Canis lupus familiaris: one gene and its partners. The protein of the gene in region 6 interacts with the protein of the main gene of each other region in a pairwise test. Links are inferred from orthologs where the notes say so. Each region holds a gene or a part of one and is shown on either strand. Other genes may lie near its edges. The genes, in order: CKS1B, CASP10, NTAQ1, UBE2W, ERCC3, XIAP and NEK6.

Evidence for each region.
Region 1: the proteins of XIAP (region 6) and CKS1B interact in a two-hybrid assay, tested with the Homo sapiens proteins (3 studies listed by BioGRID and IntAct). The two-hybrid records come from large-scale screens. The link is inferred for Canis lupus familiaris from reciprocal best matches to the Homo sapiens genes XIAP and CKS1B.
Region 2: the proteins of XIAP (region 6) and CASP10 interact in binary tests that used the Homo sapiens proteins (3 or more experiments, as listed by UniProt). The two-hybrid records come from large-scale screens. The link is inferred for Canis lupus familiaris from reciprocal best matches to the Homo sapiens genes XIAP and CASP10.
Region 3: the proteins of XIAP (region 6) and NTAQ1 interact in binary tests that used the Homo sapiens proteins (3 or more experiments, as listed by UniProt). The two-hybrid records come from large-scale screens. The link is inferred for Canis lupus familiaris from reciprocal best matches to the Homo sapiens genes XIAP and NTAQ1.
Region 4: the proteins of XIAP (region 6) and UBE2W interact in a two-hybrid assay, tested with the Homo sapiens proteins (2 studies listed by BioGRID and IntAct). The link is inferred for Canis lupus familiaris from reciprocal best matches to the Homo sapiens genes XIAP and UBE2W.
Region 5: the proteins of XIAP (region 6) and ERCC3 interact in binary tests that used the Homo sapiens proteins (3 or more experiments, as listed by UniProt). The two-hybrid records come from large-scale screens. The link is inferred for Canis lupus familiaris from reciprocal best matches to the Homo sapiens genes XIAP and ERCC3.
Region 7: the proteins of XIAP (region 6) and NEK6 interact in binary tests that used the Homo sapiens proteins (3 or more experiments, as listed by UniProt). The two-hybrid records come from large-scale screens. The link is inferred for Canis lupus familiaris from reciprocal best matches to the Homo sapiens genes XIAP and NEK6.

Annotation. Positions count from the first base shown.
Region 1 is NC_049228.1:42,484,136-42,488,274, reverse strand, and holds the start of CKS1B (cyclin-dependent kinases regulatory subunit 1), read left to right. Parts: upstream 1-1,339; 5' UTR 1,340-1,437; coding exon 1,438-1,496; intron 1,497-2,902; coding exon 2,903-3,030; intron 3,031-3,841; coding exon 3,842-3,894; 3' UTR 3,895-4,139.
Region 2 is NC_049258.1:10,201,323-10,204,822, reverse strand, and holds part of CASP10 (caspase-10), read right to left. Parts: intron 2,145-3,500; coding exon 1,991-2,144; 3' UTR 1-1,990. UniProt on the Homo sapiens protein: Involved in the activation cascade of caspases responsible for apoptosis execution. Recruited to both Fas- and TNFR-1 receptors in a FADD dependent manner. May participate in the granzyme B apoptotic pathways.
Region 3 is NC_049234.1:22,159,734-22,163,233, forward strand, and holds part of NTAQ1 (protein N-terminal glutamine amidohydrolase), read left to right. Parts: intron 1-2,749; coding exon 2,750-2,849; intron 2,850-3,500. UniProt on the Homo sapiens protein: Mediates the side-chain deamidation of N-terminal glutamine residues to glutamate, an important step in N-end rule pathway of protein degradation.
Region 4 is NC_049250.1:22,894,820-22,899,031, reverse strand, and holds the start of UBE2W (ubiquitin-conjugating enzyme E2 W), read left to right. Parts: upstream 1-1,412; 5' UTR 1,413-1,419; coding exon 1,420-1,521; intron 1,522-4,212. UniProt on the Homo sapiens protein: Accepts ubiquitin from the E1 complex and catalyzes its covalent attachment to other proteins.
Region 5 is NC_049240.1:24,666,747-24,670,750, forward strand, and holds the start of ERCC3 (general transcription and DNA repair factor IIH helicase subunit XPB), read left to right. Parts: upstream 1-1,204; 5' UTR 1,205-1,336; coding exon 1,337-1,355; intron 1,356-1,658; coding exon 1,659-1,864; intron 1,865-2,505; coding exon 2,506-2,742; intron 2,743-4,004. UniProt on the Homo sapiens protein: ATP-dependent 3'-5' DNA helicase/translocase. Binds dsDNA rather than ssDNA, unzipping it in a translocase rather than classical helicase activity. Component of the general transcription and DNA repair factor IIH (TFIIH) core complex.
Region 6 is NC_049260.1:96,096,813-96,100,312, forward strand, and holds part of XIAP (E3 ubiquitin-protein ligase XIAP), read left to right. Parts: intron 1-53; coding exon 54-120; intron 121-1,216; coding exon 1,217-1,259; intron 1,260-3,500.
Region 7 is NC_049230.1:58,759,089-58,763,311, forward strand, and holds the start of NEK6 (serine/threonine-protein kinase Nek6), read right to left. Parts: upstream 2,801-4,223; 5' UTR 2,690-2,800; intron 1-2,689. UniProt on the Homo sapiens protein: Protein kinase which plays an important role in mitotic cell cycle progression. Required for chromosome segregation at metaphase-anaphase transition, robust mitotic spindle formation and cytokinesis.

The DNA of each region.
Region 1 (4,139 bases), on a different chromosome or scaffold from region 6:
CCAAAAAACTAAACAAACAAAAAAACTCAAACAGCAAAAAGGCCACTGTCCCCTCCACCCACGCCAGGCCACCGTTTCCAGGCAGCAGGACACTCTAGCTCCTGGTGCACCCGCAGGTTGCACGCCAACCTCACGGCCCTACCAGCTCCCGAGGTGCGGGTGCTAGCCCTACAGCTGTCTCTGGGGCGGAGTCTGTCCTGGGCTGGGAACCCAGGAGCAAGTCTCTCGGCCCCTTTGGCGCCAAACCCCAAGTCCAGGCCCCTCTCCGCGGGGCAGGGGGAGGGGCAAGGGAGGCGGAGGGCGGCCCCTGACCTCGCCCGGCTCGCCCCACCTGCTGGAGCAGAAGCACTGGCTCCGCAGAGCTGAGCCCCAAGCCCAAGGAGAAGAGAAGCTGTGTCAGCAAGGGGCTTCGGGACTACCACAGCGCTCCGAGGGGCGGAGCCCGCCCCACTCTGGACGCTGCCCAGGGGGAATGGGCCCCACATCACGGGTACCGGGCACTGTAAGAGGCGAGGCTACAGCACCGCCCGACGCCATCAGGCGGGGGGCGGGGCCTCTCGGAAGGCGTAGCCTCTGGGGCGGGGCTGCCGGCACTCGGCCGGGCCTCGGAGGGGCGGGGCTCTGGCCTCCTGGGGGACCCGTCGCCAGAAGGCGAAGAATCGGAACTCAGAGAACTACCGTCAGGTTTCTCACAGTCGGACTTGGAAGCATGTTCGGGGGTGGGACTTCCAGGAAAGCTGGGCAGCAGGGTGGGGTCGTGGACAATACACAGAAAACAAGTCGGGGTTCGGGGAGCCCCCTGAAGATGGGGGTGGGACTTCCGGGGAGGGGGGTCTCAGGGGGCGGGACTTGCACATGAAGACCGGAAGTAGGGTCCCGGGAGAGGGGTTCCGGGGTGGAGGAATGGGTCACCTTAGGAGAGGGAGAAGACCTAACTCACCAGGGCCTCATGGAGTCTCCGCACCGCACCGCGGCTCGATTTGGTTCCGGATCACGCCACTGCCTCCTTAGGTCGCCGTTCCAACTTTCTCCCCGGCCTGGCCTCCCTGAAGAAACTTTATTGCACTCACTTCCGGCCTCACTAACCCCTGACCCTCTACCTCAGCGTCCCTCCTTCAGCCGTCCCACTTTGCCGAATCAGCCAATGGCAATGCGAGAACGCGCACGGGGGCAGGAATAGCCAATTAGAGGCATATTTTTTCCCTACGCTCATTCTTGACTAACGTAAGCAGCGCGGTCCAATAAGGACTCGAACAGAAGCAAATCTAAACCAATCGGCGGCTTGAAGGTGGAGTAGTCCCGCCTTAAACCATGGGGTCCAATAGGAAGCGCGGGCGGCGTGTTTGAAAGCTAGGCCAAAGTGGGTGGGAGCGCGTGCTGCTGGGAGTTGTTTGGAGGTTGCCGGAGTGGGCCTGACGGTCCTCAGGCTGAGTGATCATGTCGCACAAACAGATTTACTATTCGGACAAATACGACGACGAGGAGTTCGAGTACCGGTTAGTGCCGCCGCGGGGGCCATAACGAGGTCGTGAACTTTGACAAGTGAGGGCAAGAGGAGTTAGTCACCGGGGCTGAAGCAACAGGACCGGCGCATGCGCGGGGGACTCCCGGGGCGCGGGCGCGGAGCGTAGCAGGGCGCCTGCGCGAGGGCCTGGCGGCGAGAGGGCGCGGACAGCTGCGGACCGCAGTGTGTCCCGCGCCGGGGAGCGGGCGGAGGGGGCGTGCCTAGAGCTCGAGGCCTCCGCACCCCGCACCATGCGGGGTTCTGGATCGTTCTGGGAGCTTCCCCGGGCACGTGGAGGTTGCCCGCTGGGGCGTGCTGGAAAGAAGTGGCCGCAGCGGTGCTGAACGATCCGGGAAAGGGGGCGCGGGCGTGCGGCTCGTGGGAAGGTCTGACCCGGCGACGCAGCGCCGCAGGCTCGGGAGTTGCGCCCGGGCACGGTGTGACGGAGGCAGCGCCGCCCCTCCAGGAGGAGTACCAGGGAAGAGCGAGGATGCTGCCCGCGTGCCGTTTTGGCTTCTTCCTGGAAGAACGTGGGATGGAGACTTGGCAGGCTTGCGTTTCCTTCCCGGCCAAGTGCGGGGCTCCGGGGACTCGGCGTGTGCTGACCCTTGGGGGACCCAGGCCACTTAGGTTTCTTTCCGCCGCTGACTGTGCGCTGCCACCTCTGCAGAGCTAGTTTCAGCTCCCCGAAGTTGTAAGTCCGGGCGCTGGCGTTGGGGGGCGTCGGTCGGGTCCGATTAGGGATCGAAGACGCTGTTTGTGAAAGAATTTGCTACTAGTACACACCTACTGTGTTTTCCCTGAGCATGATGGGGTCTATCTGGAGTAGCCCAACTCAGGTGAGAGTAAGGATTTTTTTTTTGCCATGAAAGGAGATTTATCCTTGGTTAGGAAAACCTGGGGTTTCCCAAGAGGAGTCTCATGGCAACTCTTTTCAGAGTTGGGAAAATGAAATGGAGGGTACATTTCAGAGGAGAAGATATTCACATTTCATCCTTGTGATGGCTCTTCCTCACAGCGCTCCACAAGAGGCCTTTCTTCTCCACAAAACCAGCCGTTTTCAAAACTACCTTTAATAATTAACGCTGTGAGTGTCGTGGGGCTGCCCTTAGATCGTTCTAATCAGCTAGCAGACTGAGCTGGAGGAAGGCAGGGGCGCGGTGTCCACAGCGCCTGTTCACTTGAGTTACTCACGCGTGCTTTTTAACATACTTGGGGGGACGATTTGCATAATCTGGCCTTTATTTCTAGCTGCCTCTGCCCCATGATAAGAGTACATAAACTCTCCCATTGGGAACCAATTTTTTCTTTTCTTTGCTCTCTTGGCTTTGTACACAAGCATTTGTCTAACACAACTGCACCCAGTACTGATGTGATCCCTCCGTGTTTCTGTTACAGGCATGTCATGTTGCCCAAGGACATAGCCAAGCTGGTCCCTAAAACCCATCTGATGTCTGAATCTGAATGGAGGAATCTTGGAGTTCAGCAGAGTCAGGGATGGGTCCATTATATGATCCATGAACCAGGTCGGTGCGATGGCTGAAAACAACCATTTAGGGCTCCTTGGCTGAGGAAAAGAGGAATGATAAGATGGTATAACCCAAAGAAATAGAGGTGAGGGTGGTCTATTGGTTCCTCACCAGCCACCTAGAAAAATCAGAGTGATGGGATCCCTGGGTGGTGCAGCAGTTTAGCGCCTGCCTTTGGCCCAGGGCGCGATCCTGGAGACTCAGGATCGAATCCCACGTCGGGCTCCCGGTGCATGGAGCCTGCTTCTCCCTCTGCCTATGTCTCTGCCTCTCTCTCTCTTTCTGTGTGACTATCATAAATAAATTTTAAAAAAAATTTTTTTTAAAAATCAGAGTGACAAAAAAGAGTCAAGTACTGGGAAGTTCAGAAGACAACCTGTCCCTGAAAAAACTCTTTCAATCTCTAATTCAGTCTGAGCATCACACACACACACCCGTCACCCTTTTTAAGGCCACAAACACCCTGGTAGAGGTTATGGATCCTGCATCATTCTCCATGAGAAAGCAAATTCTCAGATGTGTCCCAAATAAGCCAAGGGAAGTATATTTCTTGATAAGACACCAGACCCACAAGCAGCCAGGCAAATCTAATAAAGGAGGTGGGCAGGGGATGGGGGGGCTGTACAAACACAGCAAAGGAACTGATGCTAATAGTTCTCTGCTTAGCAGACAGGCCCAGCTTTAGGGTCTGCTTCTGAGGCCATATGCTTACATCTTAATGTAGTTCTAAAGGTCTGAAATGGGAAGGGGACGCACTACACACTGCAGAGACCAGGGTGAGCGTGTCTCTTCAATGTCACTCTTTCAGAACCTCACATCTTGTTGTTCCGACGGCCACTGCCCAAGAAGCCGAAGAAATGAAGCTGGCAGCCACTTTCCAGCCTCAAGCTTTACACAGCTGTCGTCGCTTGCTAACATCTTCCTGATAACATCATTATGTTGCCTTCTTGTTTTCTCACTTTGATATTTAAAGGATGTTCAGTACACTGTTTGTGCTGCTGACTGTTTTGCTTGAGCAGAGCCAACAGCACCATGGCCCGGCCAGTTGAGTGCTCTTTGGGCTGCAGCCTCAGCTGAGCTGTGTACCCAGCAGAGCACACTTGGTA
Region 2 (3,500 bases), on a different chromosome or scaffold from region 6:
AGAGAAGCACTATGAAATGGCCAGAGGTGATCTGTGATATTTAATTGGGCAAAGACTGTAATCATGAGCTATTAGCTTTGATTGTATAAACAATGGTTTTGGAAGATCACCCTGACATGTATTAGACTCCTCTCCTCAAACTACATTCAATTCCACGTAACTACTATATTTAAAAAAAAAAAAAAAAAACAACTTCTGAATATTTCTCATAGCAAATATACCATAAATTAATTTAACTTTCACATTAATAATTACAAAATCAGGCATCACTGAGAGTTATTTTTCTTCATTCCCTAGATCTTTCATGAGCACCAGCAGATACCAGGAAATGTTCCTAAACCCCTGTTATGTCCTCTGACATTCCGGTTTACTCAAGTGGGGAAATAAAATCCTGTAAACAATAACTGTCTGGAGGACTACAGCAAATCAGTTTGCCTCCAGACTGGCCCAGACACTTGGGGGAATGTAGTGGCCCATGTGGCCTCAGCCTTGTCCCCACCCACTGCCAAATACAATGACCCCTTCCTCTGAAACATCAGTGTTCACCTCTTCTCTGTCCCCAGCATGTGACTGGTCACTCCTGGGGGAAAAGCTCCCCACCCACAAGCTCTGCAATGTGCCCCTCATCCTGTGGGCAGGGTGGGAGTGGTCCATCCCCGCCCTGGCCCCCACCCTGCCCCTGCTGTTGTTTGTGCCTTTGAAGAGTGTTAAATTATGGAAGCCCCTCAGGACCCTCCTTGTCCCCCAGGACCTCTTATTTATACTAAAGTTCCCTGTTTTCAAAAAAAAAAATCTGCATCTATAAATTAAGGCTTTAAGTTCAGGGCTTTCAACCTCCCTCTTTCAGGAACTGAAAAAAATTCCTCTTGAAATTGAAAAAAATAGTAAGTTCACATAAATAAAGATATTCAAAACCTTAATGTAAAAAGTATCAAGGCTTCCATATCGAACCACACCCTCTAAGGCACAGCCCGACAACCGTCTGATTAAGGACTGAACAACATTCCCTGTGAACAGCTTTAGACTCTCTGGCTGCCTCTCTCCTCAATCCTTTGGGCCAGAGGAGCAAGTGTGTTGGGCCACAAGGCAGGGGCTGTTGACCATTGTCAGCACAGTGCAACCACCAAGAGAACCCTTGGCCAAGAGAGACATGCTATACGGTGCAGACTGAATCCTGATTCGAACCTCATGTGCAGCCAGCACTACCCATCTGTGTTTCCTTTTCAGATGAAGGAAACAAGATATTCCCTTCTCTGCTTTAGTTGGTTTGACGTGGGTGTTCCGTCATCGGCATCTGAAAGGTTCTGACCGACACAGGATTTAACCTCAGGTGGTAAAGTCTCTGCTCTCATAGTGGCTCAGTGCGTCTCTTTTCATACAGTCATCCTAGAGCAAGGATGTTCTCGGCCCAAGAGAAACAGTTCCTGCAGGAATATCTTCCTTACACTCAAGTGGTAAGTGCGTGTCGTATAGAGCAAATTCTCACCTAAGCAGATGTGCAGAAGAGAAGCCTTAGGAAGGGGAGAGCAGAGGTCAATGAACCATGCATGATCTCTATCATCATCCAATGTCCAAAACAAAGTCGTGCAGAGGAGACACAGAATGACAACAAGGGGTGTTCATGTAGAAAAGAAGTCGAAGCCCAGTTGAGGCTAAAAACAGTGGTTCTTAGAGCTCAAATTAATCTTAAAGTGTACCTGCTTCCACCCTTTACTTCAGGGATTCACAAACCAAGACCAGTTGCATTTCTCAGGGTACACAACTCCAGCTAAGACGACAGTCCAAGGCTTCAATAAAGAAAGTGTTCTAACATTCAGACTTGTCAAAAAGAAGAAAAAAAAAGAATTTCCTGTGTCAGTAAATAGGGAATTTCCTATTGTTAGGAGGACAGACAGAGGCCAGCTCCCCATCTATCTCTGATTCCTATGACGGGCGGGAGAATGGAATGATGAACCAAGCTTCCTTTCAAGTCAAAGAGTCAAACTGTCTACTACAATAAAAGTTCTTTCTGTGGCACAGGGAATACTAGTTTCTTCCGTAGTGTGTACGCAGGTTGGGGCATTTGTTTCATCGTTCCTTGTTTGTCTGCTTGTTGACTCACATCATTGTTGACGGCAGTGAGGATGGATAAGATATCTTCATGTCTGCAGGCAGATAAGAAAAAAACATGTTCAATCAGGAGACAGAAAGCACATCATAGCAAGGAACCCTAAACCATGTGGCTTCTTCCCAGTTTAATAGGCCAAGATTCCCCCTGGAATTCTGCCAAATATAAAGAAATGCTTATGTCAAAATTAAAACAAGAGATGCAAAATCAAATGAAGCTGTTCAGTTCTATATTTAGCATTTAAGAACACTATACCAGCCACATCTTGCATTTTAATTTTTTTTTCTTTTTGTTAAGCAATCTACACTGAATGTGGGGCTTGAACTCATGATCCTGAGATCAAGAGCTTCACACTTGGGGCGCCTGAGTGGCTTAATGGTTGAGCATCTGCCTTTGGCTCAGGTCATGATCCTGGGGTCCTGGGATCGAGTCCCACATCAGGTTTCCTGCAAGGAGCCTGCTTCTCCCTCTGCCTATGTCTCTGCCCTTCTCCCTGTGTCTCTCATGAATAAATAAATAATCTAAAAAATAAGTAAATTAAAAGAGTCTCATGCTCTTCTGACCTCACATATTACATTCTAAGGCACTTGATCCACAAAGGATGTTTGCATTTAATTATTTTTTCAAGTTTCTCGTCCAAACTGGTGGATAGATGATAGATGATAGATAGATAGATAAGTAGGTGATGAAGATGGAGAGGGACACTACTATTAATAATTCCCTCTCCATTCTTGGTTTGAGGAGGGATACAAAGATACACATGGCACAGTTCCTGAGCTTAAACACTTCAAATGCAGATATGAAGCATATACCAAGTATGGCATATACACAAAATTCACTAATACAAGGCAGAAGATCAACACCATATAAAAAGTGGACAAATCCCCTTCTTTTGTGGCCCCCAGAAGGCTCAGTCAGTTAAGCATCTGCCATTGGCTCAAGTCATGATCCCAGGGTCCTGGGATGGAGTCCCACATGAAGCTCCCTGACTGGTGAGGAGTCTACTTAGGTTTCTCTCTCCCCCTTTCTCTACCCCTCCCCCTATTTATGCTCTCTCTCATCACTCTCTCTAATAAATAAATAAAATCTTTAAAAAAAAAAAAGTGGACAAAGTTCCATTGTAAGTTCAGAGGAAAAAGAGCACTTCCTGCTGGGAGATGATTCCATAGAGGAGTCTTCTCTATGAGAAGCCTGGGCTTGAGTGATATTTAGCATTTATCAAAATGTTCCAGGAGTAGGCCATTCATATACTTGAGAGCAAAGCACAGGCTCTCTGGAGATGGAACTCAATTGTGAATCATGCCTGGCTACATCCCTTGATGATTGTGCGCCACAGGCACAATTCACTGTGCCTCAATTTTCTAAGCCCTAAAATAAGGACTATAAGAGTACC
Region 3 (3,500 bases), on a different chromosome or scaffold from region 6:
AGGTTTTTATAACTTGGAATAAGTGCCTCCTCTCTGTGTCTTTTAGCTTCTGTCAGATGTTATTTATCTGTTCAGACCCAGCTGAGTGATAATAGTGGTAACCAGTATTTGTGTGGCACTAGGTGGTTTGCAGAACATGTCTGATTCTCTTTGTACTCTTCAGATGTTGGTTGAGCTCCTCCTGTGTGCCAGGGATCCTTACCTTCATGCTTCTCTGATCTCAGCCCATCACCAGTAATCCTTGCAGAATCTTGACCTTAATGCTGCGTTGTTAGTTTTTCTGCTACAACAAAGTAATCAACCAGTAGGTTGGAACGTTATTATCACAATCCCCCCCCCCCTTTTTTAAAGATTTATTTATTTATGATAGGCATAGAGAGAGAGAGAGAGGCAGAGACATAGGCAGAGGGAGAAGCAGGCTCCATGCCAGGAGCCCGACATGGGGCTCAATCCCGGACTCCAGGATTGCTCCCTGGGCCAAAGGTAGGTGCCAAACTGCTAAGCCACCCAGGGATCCCCCCCCCTTTTTTAAAGAGGTGCTAGGATTCATACCAAATCTGGGTTTCTTCCTATTCCACCAGTAACCCCAGCATTTCCAAGTATAAGTACCCCCCTCAACCTTTTAAAAGTAGGCTCCATGCCCAGAGTGAGCCCCATGCAGGGCTTGAACTGATAACCCTGAGATCAAGGCCTGAGCTGAGATCAAGAGTTGGATGCTTAACCGAATGAGCCACCCACCCAGGTGTCCCCAGGCCCCCTTTTTTTAAACATCAAGTTTCTTGAGATCCTCCTACATGTTATTAATTGTACTCTTGGGAAAAAAATTGATAATAAAAAGGGGCTACAAATTCAGTGACTCTTAGTTTAAATTTTTATTTCTCTTTGTAACATTCACACATATTTGAAAGATAATAGACAAAGTTTGTCCAGCCACGTACATATTCAGCCTGCCAACAGTACTTGGGGTACACACAGATTCTTAAAATCTTTGTGTTAACCCTGTGCCCATCCTTAGGCCTGGGGGAAGGGCAACACAAGGAGAAACCCCTGACCTATATGCCCTCCATCTTCCTGTGCCCCTCAAAATCAATGACGCTTCCTTCTGTGCATCTTTTATGGCCTTCTATGATGCTTGCTTATTTATGGATCTGTATGTCTTCTCTCACTGTCTGCAAGCTCTAATTTATCATTACATTCTCCAACCACTTAGCATGGTGCTTTTATATCATGGGTTCTTGATGTCTTTGATCAACTCAAGAATGTCTAGAGGCTGGACAGACATGTCTTCTAAAAATGTGGTCTTAGAACATCCAGGGTTTTTTTTTTTTTTTTTTTTTAATTTATTTATGAGAGACACACACAGAGAGACACACAGGCAGAGGGAGAGGGAGAAGCAGGCTCCATGCAGGAGCCCAATGTGGGACTCGATCCCGGGTCTCCAGGATCACGCCCTCGGCTGAAGGCAGCGCTAAACCACTGAGCTACCGGGGCTGCCCAACATCCAGGTTTTTTAAAATGTAGCTAATACACGTCATATGTCATGTTGAAACTGTACCTTTTTGCTTACCCCATACTACATAGCCTATGGAAGTAGTAGCAGTTTCCTGTTTTTACCTCTGCCACTACTTTTTCTGTTAAGATTTCTTAGGTATCTTATAGAAAAAAATCATAGGAAAAAAATACACTTCATTTCGGTGCTTTAAATGTAGTCGTGCAGGTAGACAAGGTCAAAACTGCATTGAACGTGTGTCATAAAATGGTGGTAGTCCTTAGTGCCGTGTATGCCTTACTTTATTTTCAAGTGGCATAGTGTAGGTGTTTGGAAATTAGACTTTGACAGTTGAATCATGAGTATGAGCAGAGTGTTGATGCAGGTTGTTTTGAACGAAGGTGCTATGTGCCTCATTGAAAAAAAATAATCCAGGGGCTGAGCTGTGAATACTGCCAGCAGTGAATGTTTTTACCTGTGTGGGAGTGTGCCTGTGGCCACCAGTGTGGCTTGGTTTGATGCACTTGGCATTGCTTAGGTGGTTCTGACTACTGTTTTAAATATCTAAAGGCCTGTCATAGAGACATTTATCTGGGGCTGAAATATAGGAAGGTGGATTTTAATTCAGTATGAGAAAACTTTCTAAAAGTCAGGACCTCTGTTGTACCAGAGGGATGTAGGGAATCCCACTCAGAGTCTCTCTCCAAAAGAATTCCTAGGCATATCATGTAACTGCCCTCAGTCCTTTCCAGCCAGAAGCCCTCCTACCCAAAACATTATTCTTGCCCCTTTCCTAAGGGGAGCAGTGAACCAATATTAACTAAGATTTTTCAAGTGTTTAAAATATGATTATCCTCATTTTACAGGTAAGAAAAGTAGATACTCAGGTCAAGATGTTCAAAGCTTCTTACCTTGTTTAAGTGGCTGAGTTGGAATTCCAGCTGTGTCTCGAGTCACTGGACCCAAAGCTGTGGAGTATTGATGTAGCATTTTATCAGTTATAAAATGCCTCCATTTGCAAACACTGCTGGGGCAGGTAACAACTGCTGTGTTTGGAGAGAGCTCAGCACACAGTATAATTTGGGTAACACTTTGTTGGGGATATTTTAGAGGAGGGTCAGGCATCAGCTAGTTATTGAATGAGGTGGTGTTTAAAATCTCTTCCAACTTTTTAATATCCTCATCAGTCTTCTGTTCAAATTTGAAAGACACAGAGAGTCATTGTATAATTATGTTGATGAAACTATTATTTTATTTCAGTGAAGAAAATATCTGGAAGCTCTGTGAATACATCAAAAACCATGACCAGTATCCTTTAGAAGAGTGTTACGCTGTCTTCATATCTAATGAGAGGAAGATGGTAAGTTGGTGACTGATTGCAGAAAGAGAACAAGAGATTTAGGGTGATAGTAGAAACTAAATATAATATATGGGGTCAGTGCTGTCCTAACGTGCTTTATAAAATAAAATAACATTTTAAAGTTTATTTTTGAATGAGATTTTTTTTTCCCCTCATTTCAGGGCACAGTTGAGTTAGAAAAGTTAAGTCCCTTATTTGTAGGTCAAGAAATAGATGATGGTGTATTTACACAAGTTAAAGCTTTTTAAATTCCTTAGACTACAGCCATGTACTCTCAGGTTTGAAGTAAAGATGTTTTTGTCTCTGGAGTTTAAATAAAATTATGATAAACTTACATGAATTATTAAAAAAGCAAACCCTTAAAAAAAAGCCCTTAATATTTTGTAAAGCACCTTTTAAATTTTTTTTTAAAGATTTAGATTTTTAAGTAATCCCTACACCCAATGTGGGGCTTGAACTCACAACCCCGAGATCAAGAGTCACACACGCTACCAAATGATCCATCCTGGAGCCCGTAAAGCACTTTTGTAAGCATCATGTCATGCTAATGGAACCATGATAAAGTAGGCAGGGTTCAGATGGCTGTTTCTGTTTTATAAAGGAGGAGATAGAGACTCAGGGAGCTCCCATAACAATCTGGGAAACTAAGAC
Region 4 (4,212 bases), on a different chromosome or scaffold from region 6:
ATGTATCAGCCATCTAAATCTTTAAAAGATAGAACACGAGATGCAAGCCTCTGGCTTCCATTTTATTCTTTTTTTAAAAAGATTTATTTATTTATTATTTATTTATTTATGATAGAGAGAAAGAGAGAGAGAGAGAGGCAGAGACATAGGCAGAGGAAGAAGCAGGCTCCACGCAGGAAGCCCCACGCGGGACTCCATCCCCGGTCTCCAGGATCGTGCCCTGGGCCAAAGGCAGGCGCCAAACCGCTGAGCCACCCAGGGATCCCCTTCCATTTTATTCTTAACCAATGACAACTGAAGTTGTCGAATAGCTTTTTTTTTTTTTAAGATTTTATTTATTTACTCATGAGAGACAGAGAGAGAGAGAGAGAGAGAGAGAGAGAGAGAGGCAGAGACAGGCAGAGGGAGAAGCAGGCTCCATGCAGGGAGCCCGACGTGGGACTTGATCCCAGGTCTCCAGGATCACACCCTGGGCTGAAGGCAGGTGCTCAACCGCTGAGCCACCCGGGGGTCCCTGGCATAGCTTTTTAAAAGGTGGCTTCTGATAAATGTTGGCAGAACTGGTGCATTCCAGAAAAAATTCTGGATGCTCACCTCTCCCTACTCAAATACATCCCTAGGTCAAATGACCACAGAACTGCCCACCACGAAACAGGCTGAAGCCAAGTCCAGATGTGACAAAAGGTGTCAAGTGTATACTACAAAGTGCACAGATCCATCAAAACAACAAAACAAAACAATCGCGTCTAGGGTCAAATCCCTACACAGATGTGAATGCCGTAACAACCTAACTATTACGGATACCCGTTTAGTTTAAAACCGAGGGGCTGGTGTAAAGGGGGAAACAACAGCACACGAACCAAAGAAAAACTTTAAAAATGTCTCTTCCCTTTCGGGCAAGTTTCAGCTCTACAAATCCACCCTGGCCCTTAGAATGCCAACGTACTGTTTTGCTCTCCGTCCTCATCCCATTGTACAACGACATGCGTCTTTCTCCCCCGACACTGGGAACACGAGAAGCCTTCCAGACCGTAAAGAGTAAAAGGCAGCCCCGCGGGCAGGGGAACCGCGCCCCAAGGTGTGAATATGGGCCTGGCGCGGTGGAGAAGACGTCCAAGAGCATCTTCCAACCACACCACCAGCGGTTGGAAAAACAAAGCAAAAAGAAAAACCAACGGGGCTGGGCATCATCAAGATGTTAGGGTAAACAGAGAAAAAAAAAAAAAAAAAACCTACGGCCGTCGCCAGGTGAGGCCCGGCGCGGCGGCGAGGGAGCGCGGCCGCCGGAGAGCGCGCTGGGCCCGAGGGTACCAACAGCGCCATTGACCGCGCTCCCGCCGCCCCTCCCCCCGCCGGGGCGCCAGCCAATCCCCTCCCGCCGTCGCCTTCCCACCGGAGGCCCCGCCCCCGGCGCCCAGGATGCTGGGCCCCCGCGGCGTGACGCGAGCACGGCGGCTCCGCCCCCTGCGTCTCTGGCCTCGCCGGCCTTGGGGGGATGGTTCCATCATGGCGTCAATGCAGGTGAGAGGAGTTTGCAGCATCTGGGCGGGCGAGGGAGCCGCCGAGAGGACGCAAGCGTTTTGTCGGGGGCGGCGTCCGGGACTCTGGGGCACCCGGGCGGGTTCGGGAGCGGCCCTGGTGGCCAGTCCTTTCCCGGCTTCAGGACGTTGGGGAGGGGTGCGAGGCGGCGAGAAGAAGGGCGGGGGAGGGGGGGGTCCTCGGGCGGTCGAAGCGGACACCAGCCGGCCGGGAAGTTGGGGGATAAAGAAGGCTGAGAGGAGGAAGGGGTGAAGTTTGGCGTTGGCGTGGCGGCAGTGGTCTCGGGTCGCCTCTCGCTCACACTGACGCTGGCCTGCCCGCCCGCCCCGGGGATGCCTTCCCCGCGGTCCCCGGCCGGGCGGAAACAGCTGCTCTGGCCGTCGTCGCTGGGGCAAGGGCGGCCCGGAGAGGGGCCGGGGGCGGGGGGGAGCTGAAAAGGCGTTCCGGGGACGGCGGCCAGCTGCAGAAGCGCCTCGCGGCCTCTGCTCAGGCCTCCCACGCCCAGCTGCTCCGACCGCTCGGCCCTGCTCTCTTTGACTCTCACTCCTTTGCCCCGTGGGTACCTTCCTCTGTTAGCTTTCGCACCCTCTGCGAACCTTAGTGCGGCAGCGCACTCGCTCTCCCGAGGCTGCCCTTGGCCCTTCAACATCATTTGCCTCCTAAGAGGCAGTCTCCCCGAGATCTGAGTCACTAGCCCCCTTATACCTCCGGGATGGCTCGCCCTCAGATTTTTTTTTTTTTTTCTTTCCCTGCGGTGCCCCACCCTTGTGGTCGCGGTAAAGCTCCAGCCCTTTGCCCTTCTTCCCTAGATCTTTAGTGGAATCTTAGTTTGGTAGGAGGCATTTATTAACCTGTGTCATAGCTGCCTGACTTAGCAGTTCATGGGTTTCTGGCTTTCCAACTTAATATGCTCCTTTTTTTCCAGATCCAAGGAGTTTTGTTTTTTTGTTTTTTTGTGGTTTTTTGTTTTGTTTTGTTTTTTCTTTTTTCCCCCCAGGCAAAGATGGCAACCACCACTGCAGTTTTGTAAAGATTGACTCTGCTTTATCTATAGCCTGCATTTAATTTTACAAATGAAGACTAGCTCTGATGAGAACACCTAGGGAGAGAAGATAGAACTGTTGTTTGGAGTGGCAGCTGAGTGCTTTTTAGAGTTTTAACATCTTAAAGAGACCCACGTTTTTCTTAGGATTCAGTGCTTTTGTTTCTAGAAGAATAAGCAAATCTTCTTATCTTCCCCCACCCTCTGTTTTTGGTTTGTTTTTCATTTCTAGGCGAGAACACTTTTTTCTTCTCTTTTCTGCATCTTCCTCTTTTGCGTACATACTTGCTTCACATTTACTTTTGTGCTTTTGTGTTATCCCCTTTCAACCAGTTTTCCATGCGATATTCTATTTACCGTTGCTGCTGCTTCTGGACTTTCCTGAAGAATAGAAAAATGTCTAACTTTCCTACTTGAAGGGATGTCACAAAACGGTGCAGGGAAAAAACAAGAACAATTTGAGGAAACATTATACTTTACACTGGTCTCCCCAGAGACGTTAGAGAGGTTTCGTCATTTGAGGCCAAAAAAGGAACTGTGGAACACTAGTTGAACAGTAGATGGGCTATATGACTAATTTAAGATAGTTTGTATTAAGATTAAAATAATTTGTTTCAAGACTAAAAATTATGGTTAAACCCACAGCACCTGTGATTATATTTAACAAGACAATTATAGGGATAACTAGTTAGCTGGTTAGATGTAAACTTTGAGGGTCTGAAAAAACAAATTTCCCGGTTTAAGAGAAAAAAGTGAATACAGAATTGGGTCAGTGCAGGACTTAATGTTGATAATCTTGAATTTTACATGGTGACTTGAGCAATGGAAAAAAAAATATTTGCCACTGCAATAAGTGGAATTTTCTGTGTTTTAGGTATTTTCCCACTGCTTGTTTGTATTTTCGAAATATCTGATACAGATATTTCAGATACAGGTTTTCTGACAGTACCTTGAAAAATAATTTTAATATAGATAAATCAAGCTTTTCGAAATTCAGTACTGGTTTCTGTGTGGTTATTCCGTCTTTGGTGAATAAAATTTTTCCTGACCATCTTTATAGCAAAATGTTGTGTTAAAGATTTTATTTTATTTTTTTTTTTAAGTAATCTCTGCATCCAACCTGGGGCTCAAACTCACAACCCCAAGATCAAGACTCTGCTCTACCAACTAAGCCAGCTAGATGCCCCTTAATAGCAAAATTTCACTCTTTTCAAAACAACTGGATTTGTTTATTTACTCAATTATTTTTTAAGGGCCCTACTGTGCTACTAATCAGAGTGCTAGAGATAGAGCAGTGAACAAAAGTAGACAAGGATTTCTGCTCTGGATACAATAGTCTAGTTGGGGGAGACAGATAACCAAATACTTAAGTTAATTGCATATTATATTAGAAGGTGATAATGCTATGAAGGGAAAGCATGGAAGGAGGTTAGGAAATGGATGTTTTGGGGATTTCAGTCAGAGTGCTTAGGAAAAAGTATACATATGCTGCTCTAACCATGTCCTTACCTAAAAAGTTTTCAGATTTCTTTATCTTACGCCAGGTCGTCAGGATGTTATCGCGGCTGAGGAGATTACTGAAGCTATAAGAACTATTTTAAAGACATACAAATTATAGAAATGTAATATAA
Region 5 (4,004 bases), on a different chromosome or scaffold from region 6:
AAGAAAGCAAGAAGTTGGTAATCTGCAATACAGGAAGAGAGCAGGACTTAGATCTGGGACTTCCATCCTCCAGAATTATAGGAGAATAAATTTCTATTGTTTGTCATACAGTCTGTGGCATTTTATTCTGGGACTTGGTAGACTAATGCAGCCACTCCAGTTCAGAATGTCCCAAACCACCCTTCAAACCTGTGCCTTCTTTAAGGTACATCATTTTTTCAGTTGCTGAAGCCAAAAATCTTAGTTATCCTTTACTCCTGTCTCTCACTTTCCAAACCCAGTCAGCAATTCCCACTCTATCTAAAAAATACATTCAGGCTGGAACCACTGTTCATCATCTTTATCCCTACCACCCTCATAAAGCCGGCCTTTCTCCACTAGAGAGTCGCCATCGCTGCCCTTGGCCTTGTAGAGGCTATCCTTGACACAGCAGCTACTGTGGGCTTTTTAATAGTGAATCAGATTTTCTCTGCTCAAAAGTCTCCAGCAGTTTTCTATTTTGTAATGAAGCCCAGAGTTTTGTGCATGGCCTACAAGGCTCTACATCAGTGGTTCTCAAACCTGGCCATCAGTATCGAGTGGAGGTCAAGGCTGTTGTGCCTCTAGAGTTTTGGGGTAGGGCTGGACACTTTGCTTTTGTGCCTCTCTCCTCAGTTTGAACGTTTCTGTTCCATGTTGATGCAACCAGGGGACCCCACTTTGAGAACCACCAACCTGCATGCTTGGTGCTGGGCGCTGGGTCTCGCCCCCTGCTCCTCGCAGCCACAAGCTCCCTCAGCTTCTTCCCATCGGACGCCCAGCCCGTGAGGTCCAGTCCTAGGCTCACACAGCTCCTCCCTGGGGATTTGCGGAGGACACTGGCTCCCTTTATCAGAACCTCTGCTTGAATCACGCCACCTGAGAGAGGCACTGCGGGGGCTCCCCGCCTGGACCGGCCCTGCCACTCTGGGCCGGCTTCGCTCCTCCTGGAGCTCCTCACGCTGCAACTGTTCATCGCCCCCATCTCTCTCAGAACTCGAGTTCCGGGAGGCCAGGGGCTCCACTTTGCTCAGTCCTACCCCAGCAGCTAAAGACAGCGCCTGCACGCTCATACTGATGATGCTCAATAGATATTTCAACGACCAGAGGAAAGAACGGGTGGGGGAGGGGCCCGAAGCCGAACACTCAGAAGGAACCTCAGCGGAGAGCTCGCTCGCGCCCGCCCGGACCCCGAGCCCGGAGGCGGGACTTCCTGCGCGCCTGCCGAAAGGGCTTCCGGTGCGCAGCGGAAGTGAGAGCCCTGAGAGCGGCCGCCGCCAAGACCCGGCGGCGCAGGCCGTGTGCCGCTACCGCTGCCATGGGCAAGAGAGACCGCGGTGAGACGTGGTGCGGGCGCCGTGGGGGCCGTCCCCGTCGGCCGGTGGCGTCGCGGCCCGGCTTCTCCGCGGCCGCCCACCCCGCCGCATCTCGCGGCCTGTGCACGCTGCCGCGACCGGCCGCGGGGCGGGGCGGGGCGATCCGGACCCCAGGTCGCGCCGGGTGGGAGGCCTCGCGGCGGGAGGACGCCGCGGGAGGACGCCGCGGCACGCAGCGGGCCCCGGGCTAGCAGGGCGTGGCGTCGGCGGAATGTGGTTGCTGCCAGGTTTCTGTCGGGCTCACTTCTGTGCCCGTGTCTGCAGATAAGAAGAAGTCCAAGAAGCGGCACTACGAGGATGAAGAAGAAGATGAAGACGACGTCCCCGGGAACGAGTCCCAGGAGGCGGTGCCCTCGGCGGCCGGGAAGCAGGTGGATGAGTCCGGCACCAAAGTGGATGAGTACGGAGCCAAGGACTACAGGCTGCAGATGCCCCTGAAGGACGACCACGGCTCGAGGCCTCTCTGGGTGGTGAGCATGCCTCAGCGAGGGCAGGACTGAGAGGCTGTGGGCCCAAAACAAATGCGGCTACTGCTCCGCAGAGCTGCTTGGGAGAGAGTTTCTTGCATACTGTGTGGGGGGCCCGCGGTAGGAATGAGCAGGTGGGGCAGCACGTGCTGGCTGGACTTGGGCCCGTTCATCCCCAGCCATTCCTCTTACTCCTCTTCCTTCCACCTAGACCGCATGCGTGGAAATACTTTTTTTATTCACCGGATAAATGCCGTTTATTATGTAATTTTTTAATTCCCCATTTAAAAAATTAATAGAAACTTTGTATTTGCTAGGTACCACTTTTGCTCAACTTGAAGTAATTAACACTCTACATTCTTTTGAAACCTGGCCAGAAGGTACATTGAGGGTAGCCCATCTGGTGGGCTTTCCCTGCGAAGAAAACGAGGAAGCAGCTCCTGACTTTGGAAACCTGTTCTAGTCTCTGCATTTCTTGTTTGTGGTTAAAGTAACAGGTTTCACAGTTGGCTGAAGCAGTGCTTACACAAACATCCCTGGTGTTTAAGATCACTTCTGGGGCAGCTTGTCCTTTCTGAATAGTGCTCTGGGAAAGAGTCATTAATTAATTTCTTTGCCTCTTGTGTCCATTTGGTGTTTCTTAGGCTCCTGATGGCCACATCTTCTTGGAAGCCTTCTCTCCAGTTTACAAATATGCTCAAGACTTCCTGGTGGCGATTGCAGAACCAGTGTGCCGACCAACCCATGTGCATGAATACAAATTAACGGCCTACTCCCTGTATGCAGCTGTCAGTGTTGGGTTGCAAACTAGTGACATCACTGAGTACCTCAGGAAGCTCAGCAAGACGGGTGTCCCTGATGGAATTATTCAGTTTATTAAGGCAAGTGGGGGCTAAGGCCAGCTCTTTTGCCTTCCTTGTTAATGCAGTAATAGTGGGCACAGATGCTACACGTTGTCAGCCTATGGCAGGTGTGAAAATGCCATGTGGTCAGCACACCTAACTGATTACCCCAGCTGCTCCTCTTCTGGATCCAGCTTGGTATGCTTGCTGAGGCCACCCTTCCCATGAGCTGCTCCAATACAGTGGATACTAACACACTTGGGATACTAATTCAGCCCTTCTGGCCAGGACTATTTGGGAATGCAACCAAAAGTGGATGGTGTTTTGGACTGAATTGTGTCCCCTCCAAAATTCAGATGCTGAAGCTGTGACCCCTGACACAACTGTATTTGGAATGAGGACGTAATTAAGGTTAAATGAGGTCATAAGAGTGGGGCCCTGATCCAGTAGGATGAGCATCCTTTTAAGAAGAGTTAGCCAGAAAGCTCATGTGGTCTGTTTCTCTTTGTGCACAAGGAAGAGGTCATGTGAGCACGTGGTGAAAGGGTAGCCAGGAAGAGAGCTTTAACTAGAAACTAATCACTGGCAACTTGATCACGGACTTCTAGAAATGTTTCTGTTGTTAAATCACCCAGTCTATGGTGTTCTGTATGGCAACTGAGTAGACTAATTATAACTGGTAGACTATCTCAGGCTGAATGCCTATATGGGATCAATGGCTAACAGTTTCTGTTTGGGAATGTGGAAAAGAACTTCCAAATGTTGAAGTGCATAAGGTTCCATATGAAGAGCAGTTGAACACGCTTGGGTTTGTCCTGAGAGATGGGCGAATGCCATTCAGAAGAGATAGACGGGGACTTTTGTTGCCCTTGGCTGATCTAAAGGGAGTTGGATTCAGACCCCCAAACCTAGAGTGGCAGGCAAGTGCCACAGGCATCCGGCACACTAATGTATCCAAACTCAGAGAAGCTGACAGGAGCCCTGGTGAGAATCTTCTCTTGTGCTGTGGGGAGGGTACCCAGGGAGAAGGGCTTGCACCTTGCTGGGAAGAACCCTGCATCAGCACACTAGCTGTGCTCAGTGTTGGCTGTGAGCTGCCTGCAGGAGTATAGATACAATGCAGTAGTCGATCCAGAAGGGAAGCAGCAGGGGCAGCCTGAGATCTGAGAGTTTTCTTTTCTTTTCTTTTCTTTTCTTTTCTTTTCTTTTCTTTTCTTTTCTTTTCTTTTTTTTTCTTTTCTTTTCTTTCTTCTTTCTTCTTTCTTCTTTCTTTCTTTCTTTTCTTTTTTTCTTTTCTTCTT
Region 6 (3,500 bases):
ATACTTTACTGATTTATCAGCTACCAAAGTTTAACCTTCTTTTAATTGTTTAGGTGTAAATATCTGTTAGAAGAGAAGGGACAAGAATATATAAACAATATTCATTTAACCCATTCAGTGGTAAGTCACATATTGTAGAATATAAAATATTATTTAATTTGTTTTGCAATGATTTCTTGGTGTAAAATTCACAGTATAGTATCTTAAATTAATAATGTATGGTGGGCTTTAAAGGGGAGATCTTGAAGAATGCTTGTTATTTCTTTTTTTTTTAATTTTTTTATTTATTTATGATAGTCACACAGAGAGAGGGAGAGAGAGGCAGAGACACAGGCAGAGGGAGAAGCAGGCTCCACGCAGGGAGCCCGACGTGGGATTCGATCCTGAGTCTCCAGGATCGTGCCCTGGGCCAAAGGCAGGCGCCAAACCGCTGCGCCACCCAGGGATCCCGAATGCTTGTTATTTCTTAACCTGAAGTAGCTTTGTGAAAGAGGAATCCCCATAAGCTGATTGATTTAACTCACTGTAAATAAAAATGGGTTTGAAGAACTAAAATACTTAATCCCTCAACTTTCTGAAATTAGACTTTTGTATAATGTGTTTTATACTCATAAATAATTGTGAACTTTCCAAAGGCAATATTTTAAATCTCAGAAGCGTGTCTAAATTGATGGCAGCCTGGGATGGCTAAGGTATTGGTACCATGTGGGAAGAGCCATGGACTAGAATGGGAAGCCAGAGTTGTCATTTATGGCTCTACCATGAGCTCCCTTGCCTCAATCGAGTTGTTTAAACTCCCTGAGACTCAGTGCCCTGTCTATAGAGTGAGTGGATTGTGTTAGATGATCTTTTAACTTCCTTCTAGTGGGGATCCCTGAGTGGCTCGGTGGTTTAGCACCTGCCTTCAGCCCAGGGCGTGATCCTGGAGTCCTGGGATCGAGTCCCACATCAGGCTCCCTGCATGGAGCCTGCTTCTCTCCCTGTGCCTGTGTCTCTGCCTCTCTCTCTTTCTGTGTGTCTCATGTATAAATTTTAAAAATCTTAAAAAAAAAAAACCTTCCTTCTAGCTTCATCAGGTTATGCCTCTTGCAAACATTCATATGTTGAATTGGAATAAAGCCAATTTATAAATTCATGATTAGTGTAACTTTTCAAATTGAGGTAATCATCTTCTACCAAAAAGAATTCTAACTTATAGTCCATATTTCTATTTCAGCTAAGAACTGCTGAAAGAACACGGTCATTAACTGAAAGAATTGGTAAGTATGTACATTAAAATAAATATACTTTTAATTTCATTAGCAGTTTATTACAGTTGTTTTTTTATAGGGTAGAGACATAAGCTTATTTTTTCAAGATAATCAAAGTAGATTTATTTGAGATGAGATTGCTATAAATTTAAGGATTAGGAAGTGCCTATAAATTTAAGTCAGTTATAGGTAGCTGGGTGGCTCAGTGGTTGAGCCATCTGCCTTTGGCTCAGGTAATGATCCCAGGGTCCTGGGATCGAGTCCCACATTAGGCTCCCTACAGGGAACCTGCTTCTCCCTCTGCCTATGTCTCTGCCCCTTTCTCTGTCTCTCATGAATAAATAAATAAAATCTTTTTAAAAATTTTAAGTCAGGGCAGCCCAGGTGGCTCAGTGGTTTAGCACGGCCTTCAGCCCAGGGCGTGATCCTGGAGACCCAGGATCGAGTCCCATTTCAGGCTCCCTGCATGGAGCCTGCTTCTCCCTCTGCCTGTGTCTCTGCCTCTGTCTCTCTTCTCTCTCTCTGTGTCTCTCATGAATAAATAAATAAAATCTTTAAAAAAATTTTTAAGTCAGATATTTATATAGTAAGAACATTCATGTGACTCATGTAACACTGTACATTAATTGTACTGGAAAAATTTAAATTATACTAAATTATATTATAAGTTATATAATTATATACATTACATAAAATGATACTAATTATAGTAAAGTAAAAATAAAATTTTAAGAAAGGACATTCCTATGGCGGTTGTGCAGTTAGCTTTTCCAAGCTTAGGAGGAGCAGCTATAGGCTGTCCATTGCCATTTCTGTTAAAATCCCCAAAGGAAGAGAGATAAGTGTATTTTTGTCCCAGGTACTTCTTGAGTTAGCCAGGACCATGAATCCAGTGCTGTACTAATGTGCCATCACCATGGTCGGCCCTACCTGCTTCCTTATCCCATGCCATTCTTGAGCCTCCCCCAGTTTCTTCACAGAGGGGCATGGTTCAGTTTATCTTCTCTTACCTTATAGAAAGGTAGAGATTTTTATCCCAAAGATTATTTACTCATCATAAACATCTTTAAAAGCCAGAAAGATACCAGGATGCCTGGGTGGCTCAGCGGTTGAGCATCTGCCTTCAGCTCAGGGTGTGATCCCGGAGTTCCGGGATGGAGTCCCACATCGGGCTCTTTGCATGGAGCCTGCTTCTCCCTCTGCCTATGTCTCTGCCTTCTCTCTGTGTCTCTCATGAATAAGTAAATAAAATCTTTTTTTTAAAAATCCAGAAAGATACTATGTTAAGCAAAGATGATATTGTTATCTCCACTTTTCAGATGCTGAAACAGAGACCAGGAGGTTAAGTGACCCGCCCACAGTTACATTTACAAATCATTAGTGGAACTGGGACTATTAACGGGGTCTTCTGAAATCTGCATCACACTGTGGATCTCATTTCCAGCTTAGGCATCATGTTTCAAAAATAGTAGAAAGTGTAATTTAGAATATGTCTGCTGATTCCCCATTCCTTATACCATCATCTTTTTGGTATCTTAAGGGTTACAAGACAAGAGAAAACTATAAGTATTCATAAATATACTTAAGAAGGAGAGCCACTTTGATAATATTTGATACAGATTTTGAAATGGGCATAAATAATAAAGTTTAAGAAATCATTTATTGGGATGCCTGGGTTACTCAGTGGTTGAGCATTTGCCTTCAGCTCAGGGCATGATCCTGGGTTCCGGGATTGAGTCCACATTGGGCTCCCTGCAGGAAACCTGCTTCTCCCTCTGCCTGTGTCTCCCCCCCACCCCCACCCCGTTCTCTCATGAATAAATAAATAAGTCTTTAAAAAAATTGAGATATGAAAAGAAACAATAATAAAATAAAATTGAGATGTGTAATTCATGTAGCAAAAATTTCACCCTTATAAACTGTACATTTTAGTGGTTTTTAGTAAATTCACAAGGTTGTGGAACAAACCATCACTGCCATTTAATTCCAGAACATTATTATAATCCCAAAAAAGAAACCCTGTATCCATTAGCAGCCACTCCCCATTGCTGCCCCTTCCCCCTCAGCCTCCAGACAACTACTCATCTACTTCTATCTCTCTGGATGTACCTATTCTAGACATTTCATATGAATGGAATCATAATATGTGGCTTTGAAGTTCATCCATGTTGTGGTACTTATACATGATTACTTCATTCTTTTTTTATGGTAGAAAAAGTTTCCTTAGTGTAGATAATACCATGTTCTGTT
Region 7 (4,223 bases), on a different chromosome or scaffold from region 6:
CAGCCCTTTCTATCTGACAGTCCTGGCCCTAGGCATGGGTCATCCACCGCCGAGGGGCAAGAGTAGACAAGGAAGGAGGGCAGCACTTCTGGGAAGACGTCTCCCAGAAGCCCAGAGCCTGGTGAGGAACCTGGCCCCGCAAGAACCTGGAACACAGTGACCTTTACTTTCTACGTCCAATGGAAAGATGGAGGGCTCTGCTCAGACAAGCCTGACTTCAACCGCACAGCATCCTGTGATCTTTGGCACATGATTTCATCTGTGTCCCCAGTTTTCTCATCTGTAAAATGGGCACCATGATAGTTCTGTCTCTGTGCTGCCGGGTGGACTGGGTGAATTTAGGTACTTACAGCTTTCGTGCCTGGCATATGGGATGCCCTCAACAAATGGTGGCCATTAGTTGTGATGCTACTTTCATAAAATTATGCCTCGTATTCCATCTCTCTGAGCCTCAGTTAGGTCATCTGTAAAATGGAGATGACAACCCCCAACCTCATGGGGAAGATGAAATGAGTAGATGTGTGTGAAAGCACCGAGCACCCAGCCTGTGCACCTTCAGAAGACAAGTTATCAGGCCCCTGGTGTGGAGGGCAGACTGGAAGTCAGGGAGGTGACAGGATTCTGCCTCTACCTCCTCTCAGCAGTCCCAAGACACAGGGTTGACAGAGACACAGGTCTCTGTGTCTCTGCGCCCACAACTACTAGGAGGATTAAAAGTGCACACAGTAGGTGCTCCGTAAGCATGACTTCCCCTGCCCTTCCCCTGCCCCCTCCTCGCTCAAAGCCACTGGAAACGTCACCTGGCAAAGCCAGGAGCTTCGATTCTTGAAACCCGAATGATCTGAAATGGCTCAGAGCCCAGACCAACCTGGGCCACTGCTTCAGTCTGAGACTTTATTTTCTGAAGACAGAAACTACTTTTAGTCATTTCCGAAGCAGACAGGACGGCAGAGGCTGACAAACCACAGGGACCATTTTAAATCCTGGGCCTTTTCTTCTGGGAAGTTAGGCAAGAACCTTCCCAAATGTTTGCCCGTGGGGCTCTCTGCCAGGGAGTGACTCATCCACAGCTCCCCACAGGCATATTTTATTTGGGGAGTGGGGGATGGAGGGAGGGCCTGGCCTTGAGGGGAGAAGAAGAGGCAGCCTTTCCAGCAAACCCAGAAGGTGGGTTGGGTTTTGTTTTGTTTTGTTTTTTTCATTTCTTTTTAGGACAAAAAAGAAAAAGAATGTGGATCTTTTTTGTTTCCTTCCAGGTTTTGTTTGCTAAAAGAAGACGTCCAAAGTTCACTCAGTAAGCTGCTGCGTTGGGAACAGGCGCCTCCAGCCGCTCTGCATCCCTTTCAATGAAATTCTTCTTCCATTAACACCACGATTTTTAAATGTGCCTCCAAGATCTGCCTGCGCACGACATTTTCTCCTCAGAAAGTCTAGCTGAGTTTTGAAAATTCAGGGGGACGAGGGAGTTCAGTGTTTCTGAAGTTGCCCTTAAAGCAATCGAGACTTTTTTTTAAGATTTGTTTATTTGTTTGTTTACTTATTTATTTATATGAGAGACACAGAGAGAGAGAGGCAGAGACACAGGCAGAGGGAGAAGCAGGCTCCATGCACCGGGAGCCCGACGCGGGACTCGATCCCGGGACTCCAGGATCGCGCCCTGGGCCAAAGGCAGGCGCCAAACTGCTGAGCCACCCAGGGATCCCCAATTAAGCCTTCTGACTGCAGAGATTTTCAACATTTCTAAAGCTCCCCCCAAAACTGTGTCAAAGCTGCGCAGACAGACCTTGGAAATCAGTGTCCCAAGCCTGCTGTGATCAATTTGTTACTGTCTTGGGGGCTCATGCTTGGAGCCCAGGCTCAACAAGTAAATAAGTCAGATGAATACGCATCTAGTCGACAGAGCAGGCAGAGACAGGGCGAGAGACCCTCAGATACACAGACAAGTGTCCTGGCACCCCTGGCCTTCCCAGGGTCACCGTCCCCCATCCCCACCCCCCAAGGCCCGCGGGAAAGATGAAAATCTGCCCGGGCCAGAGACCGGAAGAAGAGGAGCCAAGGGACCCAGAGGGGGGTGTTCAGGAAGAACTGAGGCCGCGTCCTCTAGCAGCAGGCCGAGGAGCCCTGCCCGCCGCAGCAGAGCCGCAGCCCAGCCTGAGCATCCTGGGGCCCCACCGAGGCCCGGCAAGGAGGCCTCCCCGTCTGCGGGGCCCAGCCTGGCTCTGCGGGTCTGACCTCCGCCCCCCTTCGGCGCGCGAGGCCCCGCACCCGCCGGGAGCCCACCCCGGGCCTAGTTCCCTCCGCGGGCTCCCTGGCACCCGGGAGGGAGCCGCCTGGTGGGTGCAAGGAGGTGCCCGCCCGCGTGCGTGAGAAACGCATTCACACCCTCCCGGACGCAGGGTGCATGTTCGCGTGCACGGACACGTACACTTTTGTCCTCAAAGGCTCCCAAACGCGCCCAGAAGTCACTCGTGAGCACTCGCGCACGTGCACACACGCACGCCCGGAGCCTGGAGCACGGCTCCCCATCCCCACGGCACGGGCCCCGCGAGCGCTCGGCCCCGCGGGAGCCCCGCCGCGCCCCAGCCCGCCCGCGGCCCCGCACGCCACCGGCCGGGCCCCCGCGACGCGCGCGCCCCCGCCCCCGCCCGGCCCGGTTCCGCCCGGCCCGGCCCGGCCCCAGGCCACTCACCGGCGCGCGGGCGGCTCGGCTGCCTCGGAGGAGCGGCGCGCGGGCGGCCGGAGCGGAGCGGGGCGGAGCGGGGCGGAGCGGAGGGTCCCACACTCGCGGCCGCACGCCCGTCCGCCCGGTTCCGCCGCCGCCTGCGCGGGCCCGCGCGCTCCCGCCCCTCCCCGCCGCGGGCCCGCGCGCTCCCGCCCCTCCCCGCCGCGGGCCCGCGCCGCCCCCTGCGCTCGCTCCCGCGCGGCCGCCACGCTGGCCCGTGGGCGCCCCGGGGAGACCGCAAGGCGCCCGGAGCCCCCGGGGCCGCGAGACGTCCGCGCAGCCCAGGCGCCCCCTCCCCGTTCCAAAGATGGGGAGACTGAGGCCCAGACCCTGCCGGCGAGTCGGCGCCAGCAGACCCCCCTTCACCCCTAGTCCCCGGGCTCTAGACGCTCAGGGCTGGGGTCCGCACTCAGCGAACCGGGGACCCGCCCCCGCATCCCTGGGTACCCCCCGACGCGGCCCCCTCCACGGCCCTGCGCACCCTGGGTAGCCAATCAGCTCTTATTGCGCGCCTACTGGATGCGGCGCACGTTTAGGAGGAAGCTCCAAGGGCATCTCCGCCTGCTGAAGGTGCTGCCCCCTGCCCTCAAAGCGCCAGCGTCTCCTTATATGGAGCTCCCCAATGCCTGTGAACCCCGAGATAGGGAGAGTCGAGGTGCAAAGGTTTCCGGGAGAAGGCCCTACTGAGTGGGTAACACCCTCTCTAAGGAGACAGAGTCTCCATGGGGCCCCGAAGGCTGCAGCTGGCCTCCTAAGGGAACCTGCGCGCCCCCTTCCCCCAAGAAGGGCTCCGGGCCGGCTCGCTCAGCTCCCGCCTCCTGCATCGGCCGCTGCTCCTCCACAGGCAGGACCGTGCGGTGTCCCCCCAGGACGCCTGGAACCAGGAACTGACACTGACCACCTGCCGGCTGTCCAGCTTAGTGACAGCACCGTGCCGAGCCCGCAGAGGACCCCCCGGCGCTCCACCTGGCTGCGACCTGTGACAGTAACGACACCCGTAGGACCCCCGCCAGGTGTCATACTCACAACCGCACAGCCATTCTGCGAAGGAGGCGTTATGCCACTTTCATGCCCGTTTTACAGATAAGATAAATGAGGTTTAGAACAGAAGCTGAGAGAGCCCAGTTCTCTTGCTCAAAGTCACCCAGTTGGTAAGGGTTGAGCAGGGAGCTAGACCACAGCACAGACTAACTCCAGTGCCCAGTCTCGGCAGTCCCACCTCATAAACAACATAGCTCTGGACTGCTGGTATAAGAGGGCACGGGGGACAGCTGGCACAGACGGCCCAGCCCAGTCCCAGCCTTGCCGTGAACCAGCAGGGACAGAACAGGTCATTCTACACGTTGGTTAGCGGTTTGGTCGGGGACCTACTTACAGTCTCACTTCACATGATACGCATCACAACAGATATCAGATAGATTGAAGAGGTAACTCCAAGAAATAAGCGTTTCAGAAAGTGATAGAAATAAATAGAAGTTCTGAGACAGTGTGTTGCAGTGTT